Macaca fascicularis: one gene and its partner. The protein of the gene in region 1 interacts with the protein of each later gene in a pairwise test. Links are inferred from orthologs where the notes say so. Each region holds a gene or a part of one and is shown in the gene's direction. Other genes may lie near its edges.

Evidence for each region. The genes of interacting proteins can lie anywhere in the genome.
Region 2: the proteins of ZNF277 (region 1) and GNGT1 interact in a two-hybrid assay, tested with the Homo sapiens proteins (3 studies listed by BioGRID and IntAct). The two-hybrid records come from large-scale screens. The link is inferred for Macaca fascicularis from reciprocal best matches to the Homo sapiens genes ZNF277 and GNGT1.

The regions. Positions count from the first base shown.
Region 1 is NC_088377.1:153,718,480-153,722,871, forward strand, and holds the start of ZNF277 (zinc finger protein 277), read left to right. Parts: upstream 1-1,001; 5' UTR 1,002-1,016; coding exon 1,017-1,107; intron 1,108-4,392. Other genes in the region: DOCK4 (dedicator of cytokinesis protein 4), read right to left, coding at 402-438. UniProt on the Homo sapiens protein: Probable transcription factor. Involved in modulation of cellular senescence; represses transcription of the tumor suppressor gene INK4A/ARF, perhaps acting via the Polycomb group (PcG) complex PRC1.
Region 2 is NC_088377.1:127,422,125-127,426,559, reverse strand, and holds the start of GNGT1 (guanine nucleotide-binding protein G(T) subunit gamma-T1), read left to right. Parts: upstream 1-1,660; 5' UTR 1,661-1,738; intron 1,739-1,829; exon of another isoform or gene 1,830-1,832; 5' UTR 1,833-1,840; coding exon 1,841-1,936; intron 1,937-4,435. UniProt on the Homo sapiens protein: Guanine nucleotide-binding proteins (G proteins) are involved as a modulator or transducer in various transmembrane signaling systems.

The DNA.
Region 1 (4,392 bases):
GGTAAGGAAGGAGAGAAACCCTGTTCGCCTCCTCTTCCAACTTGACACACACATACACACACAGAGACAGACAGACAGACACACACACACACACACACGCCCAGTTGCCACTCCAAACTCCGCAGGCAGAGCCCGAAGCGAGCGGGCCGGCCGCGCACTCCCCCAAGCTGTCCCGGCGCTCTGGGAATCTGTGCGGGGCGCGCCGAGCCCGCGGTGCGGGGCGAGAGCCTGGTGCGCAGCCCTCTGCCTGGAGCTGGCTCGGCAAAGCCCCGTACCCGCTGCGCGATGCCAGGATTAGGCATTTTCAGCCGGGCGGAGCAAGAGGGGCGCGGGGGCAAGGACGAGAAATGCGCACTCGCTCGGGCCAGAGCAGAATAAAAGTTCGCCCCGCGGAGACTCACCCACGCCGTATTTCTCGTGCTCCGTAGGTATCCACATGGCTAAAGGGGCTCCGGGGTCTTGAGGCTTTGTAATCCCCGCGCCCCTTCTCCGGTTCACAACAATGCACAGTCCCCGAGCAGCGCTGCAGCGCCGGAGCCCGGGGGCTTCGCGCGGGCTGCGGGCGCTGGGCAGGATCTGCGCTGGAGGCTCCTGAGCCCAGCGTTGACACTGCGCCGCCAGCAGCTCTCCCGGCGGCGGCTGCTCACAGTCCTCAGATGCGCTCCCGGGGACCCGGCGGCGCAGTCATTGTTCTGATTCACTGAACTAAGCGAACACGCCGGGGCACTCTCGGGCGCACCCCCGCCCGCCAGCGCCTAGTCCAGCCCTCCCGTCCCGGGGCCCCGCGGCACGCTGGGAATTGTAGTTCTGGGCTTCCCCATCCCGGAAGTGGGAGAGGCAATTGCGGTTCGAGGCGGGGATTCAGTTTTACTAATTACGTCCTATTGGCCCAGAGGGCGGTGTAGGTGTGGAGAAAACACAGCGTCGACGGGGAGTTCACCTCCAGTCGCATTTCTATTGGTGCCACCCCGCCTCTGCCCCGCCCTGCGGCCCTCCCTTTTCTTCTCTGCCGGGTAATGGCTGCTTCCAAGACCCAGGGGGCTGTCGTCCGAATGGAGGAAGACCGTGATGGGAGCTGCAGCACAGTCGGGGGTGTAGGTTATGGGGGTGAGTACGGTGCCCCGGAGGCGCGGCTGATGTGTCTTCCTTTCACTATGACCGGGAGTGCAACGGACCTCTGGTCTGACCCTAGGAGCCCTTTAGCTCTGGGCCGCCTGGGTTCAACGGGGCCCCACGGGTGGTGGCCCAGAGGGATGGGGTGGAGCCGGGGGCGGCTACTTGGTTGGGGCTGCCCGGGGAGGGCGGAGAAAATGCCTTGGAATGGCCTTCCCCTCCGCCGGGGAAGCTCCCTGAGCGTTTGTCTTCTAGTTTGGAGCTCCCAGCTTTGCGCTAGCTGCTGAGTGGGTTTGGTTTAGGTCTGGTTCGCGCGCATGTGTTTATAACTTTGGGATTAGCAGCTCTTTTTTTCCTCACCAGTACACTGCCTCGGTTTGCTTGGTTTGACCTTGCAGATGTGTTTTATTTAGCTTCCGTAGACTTTCCAGTCGCAGACTGGTGGTCAGTGCTATCCACTCTACACATTTGCCCAGTTTGTGAGTGAAGTGTCTTCTGAAGGGAAAGTATCTCACAACCTCCCTGTCGATAGTTAACTGCTCTGGGTGTTCTCCAGATTTGGATGTGGAGCCTGAGACATCTTCCCAGTCTCTGGGTCCTTAGAGAAAGAAAAGGAAAGTGGTAGATAATTCGCACTCGTGGCTTCAAAGAACATTTGAAAAGGGTTATGAAAATCATCACAACTTTGGCTGTACCTGACTTTCAAGTTGTCCTCTGATCCACTGTAGGAATAATAAACCAAATTTTGAAAGCTGCAGGGGGATTGTGTTTAAGACTCTTTTACCCTTAGTCTATCGCTCCCCCATTCCCCCCACCCCATTTTTGCCTTGGTGTGTAATTTAGCACAAGTTATCTTTTTCTGATGAACATGGTTTGGGGCTTAAATATGGTTCTCAGACTGTTGAGACTTTGTTTTTCGGTTTATTTGTTTTTGCTTTCACAGTTAAATTGATATCATCTTAAATATTTACCTCAGCGGCACAGAGATGAAGTGCAGTTTTTTCCCACTTCCCAACTGTGGAACTCCCTACTCTGAAATTATTTTAGTACCCCTACCAAACAAATCTTTGGTAGTCTCCTGAGTTAAATATTGAGTTTAACACCCTAATGGTTTATTATTGGGTTGGTTATATATTGGGCTATCGGATGGTAACAAACTATTAAATTTTCCTAGATTCTCAAAGTTCCAGAGGGCTACGAGTTTGAGATCAAAAGATACACTCTTTGGTGAATTTATCTCACAGTCTAACTTATTTTAAAAACTGCACTTTGGGAGGCCGAGACGGGCGGATCACGAGGTCAGGAGATCGAGACCATCCTGGCTAACACGGTGAAACCCCGTCTCTACTAAAAATATACAAAAAACAGGGCGAGGTGGCGGGCGCCTGTAGTCCCAGCTACTCGGGAGGCTGAGGCAGGAGAATGGCGTGAACCCGGGAGGCGGAGCTTGCATCCGGCCACTGCGCTCCAGCCTGGACGACAGAGCGAGACTACGTCTCAAAAAAAAAAAAAAAAAAAAAAAAAAAAAAAAAAAACTGGCCGGCGCGGTGGCTCAAGCCTGTAATCCCAGCACTTTGGGAGACTGAGGCGGGCGGATCACAAGGTCAGGAATTCGAGGCCAGCCTGATCAATATGGTGAAACCCCGTCTCTAATAAAAATACAAAAATTAGCTGGGCATGGTGGCGGACGCCTGTAGTCCCAGCTACTCGGGAGGCTGAGACAGGAGAATCGCTTGAACCCGGGAGGCGGAGGTTACAGTGAGCCGCAATTGCGCCACTGCGTTCCAGCCTGGGAGACACAGCGAGACTCTGTCTCAAAAAAAAAAAAAAAAAAAAAAAAAGGGTATGCCTTTCAAAAATGTAAAGTATTTAAAAGTATTTATTTTTAAATTTTAAACGTTTAAACGTTTTTAAAACATTTCAAACCATTCAGAAGTGTGTGAAGTAAAAAAAATGAAAATTCCTTCACCTCGCAGTACCACTTCCCAAGTATAAAGTGGTAAGAGTTTGGTACCTAATCTTTCCAACATAATCTTTTTTTTTCTTTTAATCCTACAATCCGTATTCTGTTAAACCAACCTATACTTATATGACACCCATCTGTACGGTTTGATTTTTTTTAATAAAAAGGATAAATCTAGGTAAACTAAAAGATCTGCAACCTTCTTTTTTCTTTCAGCAGTCTATCATAGAAACCCTTCCACGTCAGTACATTTGTTTCCTTTTTTTTTTTTAAGGACTGTGCCCATCATATTCCAAAATATGAATGTGCCATGCTTTAGCCATTCCCTTATAAATGAACATGTAGTGGGACTTTAGTTTTTCAGTAATGTTGCAATGAACAGCTTTATGTACATATATTCTTGCCCACTGGGTGTATATTTTGGGGGAAAATTGCTGGATCAAAGGTTATGCAAGTTTAAAATTTTGATAGATGCCAGACTTTACTCTTAAAATATATTCAGCATACATTGCCACCTGTAGTATATGAGTGTTCTTTCCCCCATATTGTCACAAACTTTGAGGAAATAATTAATCCAGGACCAATGTTTCAATGACTAGTGGATTAAGTAACTGATAGAAAGCTTAGTTTTTGGTTCCAGTTTGTTTTCAACAAAAGTGTTGAGTAGTAGCGAATTTGCAGTGTCTATAACATAAAAAAATTTCTCATCCTGGGTGAGAACTACCCAGTATTCTCATTGTCTTGTAGCAGTCAATAGGAGAAATTAATGGTTGATATTTTTATGTCATTCTTATAAAATTGTCATTAAAAATTCTGCTTAGTAGGCCCGACGCGGGTGGATTACGAGGTCAGGAGTTGAAGACCAGCCTGGCCAAGATGGTGAAACCCCGTCTCTACTAAAAATACAAAAAAAAAAAAAAAATTTCTGCTTAATAACCTATGTATTATTCTGTTACTTTTTCCAAAATCTTTTCAAAGCCAACAAAGTGTGTTATAAATTTTAGGTGTAAATATTTACATTAAAAGTATATTTTTTTGTTAGGCAGTGATTTAGGTTATCAAGGATGTCTTGCCCTGTAAAAATCATACACCTTTTTGGATGAGTTCATGACCTTTGTAGGGACACGGATGAAGCTGAAAACCATCATTCTGAGCAAACTGTCGCAAGGACAGAAAACCAAACACCGCATGTTCTCACTCATAGATGGGAATTGAACAATGAGAACACTTGGACATAGGATGGGGAACACCACACACCGGGCCCTGTCGTGGGGTTGGGGGATGGGGGAGGGATAGCATTAGGAGAAATACCTAAT
Region 2 (4,435 bases), about 26 Mb from region 1:
AAAATACAAGTTAGCTGAGCGTGGCGGCATGTAACTGTAGTCCCAGCTACTCGGTAGGCTGAGGCAGAAGAATCACTAGAACCCAGGAGGCAGAGGTTGCAGTGAGCCGAGATTGGGCCACTTCACTCCAGCCTGGTGACACAGTGAAACTCCATCTAAAAAAAAAAAAAAAAAAAAAAAAAAAAAAATCTTAAACTACTACTTATCCAGAGAAGAACGGGATATTTTAAGACTGGGAAGGGAAACAATCTTTCTTCAAAGGTTTTGGAAATGAAAACATCATTTAAATACAAGGAAATAGGTTAACTGCTGATATATTATTAGCAGAGTATTTTCATGTAGATGTACAATGTTATGTTGTTCTCTGAAATATGAATACACTTACTTTTATAATAATACTTCATTACAAAAATTGGACTAGGGAGAAGGAGGAGACACTATAGGCACAATGCCACTTGGCCACTTGGGATAAAGGAAAGTTTTATCTTCTTAAGTTGAAGTATCTAAAAGCTGTTTTATTATTTATGTACTCAGGATTATTGTCTTGTAGGCAAGGTGGTCGTCTTCATGTTTATTTTTCACTTGTGGTAAGTTCACCTTGGACTTTTTATTTTGGGTAAACATCACTTACATCATCATTAATAAGGCTTTGGGGTTCCTTTTCCCCATTATTCAATTTCATAGCATTATCACCAGCTGTTGAGCCTTCTTCCCCATTACTCACTGGTCTAATTGGGGAGAAGAGGAATTGCGAAGAGGGCGGAAGAAAAAGTCTGTTCTAGTAGGATGTTTATTGGTAGATCAGACCTGCCATGTCCCCTTAACCTGCTAAATTTGGTCATCATTGTTACCAGATTCATTGTGACAGTTACAGGCAAATTCCAGGTGTTGTTGGAAAAACACTTATAAGTAATACACTAGTTTATTTTTGATTAAGAAGACTGTTTACGGAGGGGCACGGTGGCTCAAGCCTGTAATCCCAGCACTTTGAGAGGCTGAGACTGGCGGCTCTCGAGGTCAGGAGATTGAGACCATACTGGCTAACACGGTGAAACCCCGTCTCTACTAAAAAATACAAAAAACTAGCCGGGCGAGGTGGCGGTCTCCTGTAGTCCCAGCTACTTGGGAGGCTGAGGCAGGAGAATGACATAAACCCGGGAGGCGGAGCTTGCAGTGAGCTGAGATCAGGCCGCTGCACTCCAGCCTGGGTGACAGAGTGAGACTCCATCTCAAACAAAACAAAACAAAAAAACAAAAAAAAACAAACACTGTTTACTAGGTACACATTTAAACAATCCATTATTTATAATGAACTTATAGTGATACTTTTTATATGGTTCCCTTTTAATACCAGGTTAAATACTCTAGAGATTTAGGGAATTAATGGCCCGTCCTCCAAATGACCTCAAACTAAGTTAAATGACATAAAACATGTGGTGGAGGGTTTTGGAATTGACAGTAAGGATTGGAAACCCCAAATTTTACACTGTACGAAAGACCAGGGGCAAGAAGCAGCTTTAAGTATTTTAGATTATATACTGACTAAACTCACCCCTCCCAACAAACCTGTTGACAGGTGTTTAGGGTCAAATGCTTGACTTAATCATATTAGTGAAGATTAGGAAGAAGCTTTAAATTCCCAAGACTAGTGTGCATTGCTACAATTGTTAAGAGAGAGAGCTCATGTGAAATTGGTTGTCGTGGGATATTTAAAATAAAACAAAGAAGAGTTTACTTTGTAAGTTAAGAGCTGAGGGAATTGTTGGCTAAGACTGATTTGAAATAACTGCAGCAATTCATGTGTAGGTGCTAACCTTCTACACCTTCAGCAGGCAAAAAGATGCCAGTAATCAATATTGAGGACCTGACAGAAAAGGACAAATTGAAGATGGAAGTTGACCAGCTCAAGAAAGAAGTGACACTGGAAAGAATGCTAGTAAGTTGCTGCTTTCTTTAGAATTTTATTTTAAGCTAGAGATACTGTGGTGGTACCAGGTTAGAAAACATTGGCTGGTAAGGCTAAATGTAGTTACAAATAAATTGTTCATCTAAAAATGTATCAAAGATTAAGAAAATTGATAATCAATCACAACTATCTCTTGATTTAGATTCTAAATCGAAGAGGTTGGCAAACCATTTTCCTTTGGCCAAGCCCAATCCTTAGTCTCTTTTTGTATGACCACTAAGATAAGAATGCTTTTACATTTTTAAAGAGAAAAAGAAAGAAAGAAAGAAAGAAAGAAAGAAAGAAAGAAAGAAAGAAAGAAAGAAAGAAAGAAAGAAAGAAAGAAAGAAAGAAAGAGAGAGAAAAAGAAAGAAAGAGAGAGAAAAAGAAAGTAGGAGAATATGAGACAAAAACCATATTTTAGATAAACAATAAAGTAAATATGTGCATACAATAATATAGACATTTTGCTTTTACTTTTCTAAACTTCTCTTTATAATGCAATATTTTGATATTGATATTTTGATACAATATTTTGATATTGCTGCAATACTTTAAGCTATGATGTCATCCCCTCTTGCACTGTCATGGTCAGTAATAAATGAGTACATTCTACTCTTCTTTGGCAAATAAAGATGAGTTCAAACATAAGAACTCACTGGTTCCTCCTAAAAACATCTGACAAATCTTAGAAAGGGTTACCAACAGTTCACTGCCATTAGAAGGAGAAGAAATGGCAAAGGACTAAACCACCAAACAAACAGTGATGAAAGCTTGGAGGATGTAGATATGTATTTTAGGTCCCTTCATTTTAGGAAAATTATTAATAGTAGAACAAAACCTCCACAAGTGGTAACAATAACCTTATATTTTCAAAACATCTCATTTTATCAGGACAAAGTAAAAAAGGAGTTTGTGTTATCTTCATACTTGGTTCAAAATGCCTACTCCCAGTCAAAACTGGGATTTTTGGCTTCTTCTATGTTTATAATAATCTCAAACTCCCCTGTTGCCCTTTCCATATAGGCAAAACGTTTTGCTGTAAAGATAAAATTAAATCAGTACCAAGGCTTAGAACGTACACCAAATAAGTTAAAGTCCTTATTTTTACAATTCAGGGTAAATAAAATGAACTTTTGGGATAAAGGAAAGTTTTATCTTCTTAAGTTGAAGTATCCAAAAACTGTTTTATTATTTATGTACTCAGGATTATTGTTTTGTAGGCAAGGTGGTTGTCTTCTTGTTTATTATTCACTTGTGGTAAGTTCACCTTGGACTTTTTATTTTGGGTAAACATCACTTACATCATCATTAATAAGGCTTTGGGGTTCCTTTTCCCCATTATTCAATGTCTCTCTGCTCTTGGAAGTCAAACCAATTTAATATCAGACTGTAAAAACTCCATATACATACACACACAAACACACATGCATATAGATACACATACATATACATGTACTCTCTTAGTCTCCTCAGGGTGATGTACCAGAATACCATAGACTGGTGAGTTACAACCAATAGAAATGTATTTCTCACAGTTCTGGAAGCTGGGGCATCCAAGATTAAGGAACCAGCAGATTCAGTGTCTGGTGAGGGCCTGCTCCCTCCTTCATGAATGCCTGTCTTTTCATTTTGTCCTTACCTGGTGATAGGGGTGAGGAAGCTCTCTCGGGTCTCTTTTATAAGGACAGTAATCCTATTTATGAGAGTTCTGTCGTCATGACCTAATCACCTACCAAAAACCCCACCTTGGGGGTTAGGAGTTCAACAAATGAGTTTTTAGGGGACACAATTGTTCAGCCTGATACATATATATGATATATATATACACACACACACACACATATTATATATATAATATATAGAAATATATATGTAATATCTAGAAATATTATTTCTCTATATAATAGATAATAATACATATATTATACATAAAATGGAACTTCCAGGTCCTGAGCCCCCAGCTCTGACGTGTAATCAGTACAGTGTGGTTAAGTGGATATACTCTGAAACCATATTCCCAGCTCAGATTCTTTCTCCACAACAACTTTCTGCCTGTGTAATCCTCATCTATGTTAACTAACTTACCTGTGCCTCTGTTTCTTCAAAACAGCGATAGTAATAGCATCTAATTCAGAGGATAATTGGGAGGAATAAACAAGGTAATATACGCAAAGCTCTGAGAACAATGCCTGGTAATAGCAAGTGCTTTATGTCATTATGTTATTATTACCTTAAAATTATTATTGATTCTATGAACCAGACTGATTCATATTATACTGATTTTTTTTTTTAGTAATACAAGTCTTTGCATCCCGTTTCTAAAGCTGACAGATTTGCAATGACTATAAGTCAATGTAATAGGCAATGACTAAAGACAATTATTGTAGTAACAGCTAAAAATAGTTATCATTTGATTGTGCATCTTCTTGTGCCAGGCACCCGTTAGGCATTTAAGGCAACCAATGTAGCTATTCCTATTTTACAGTA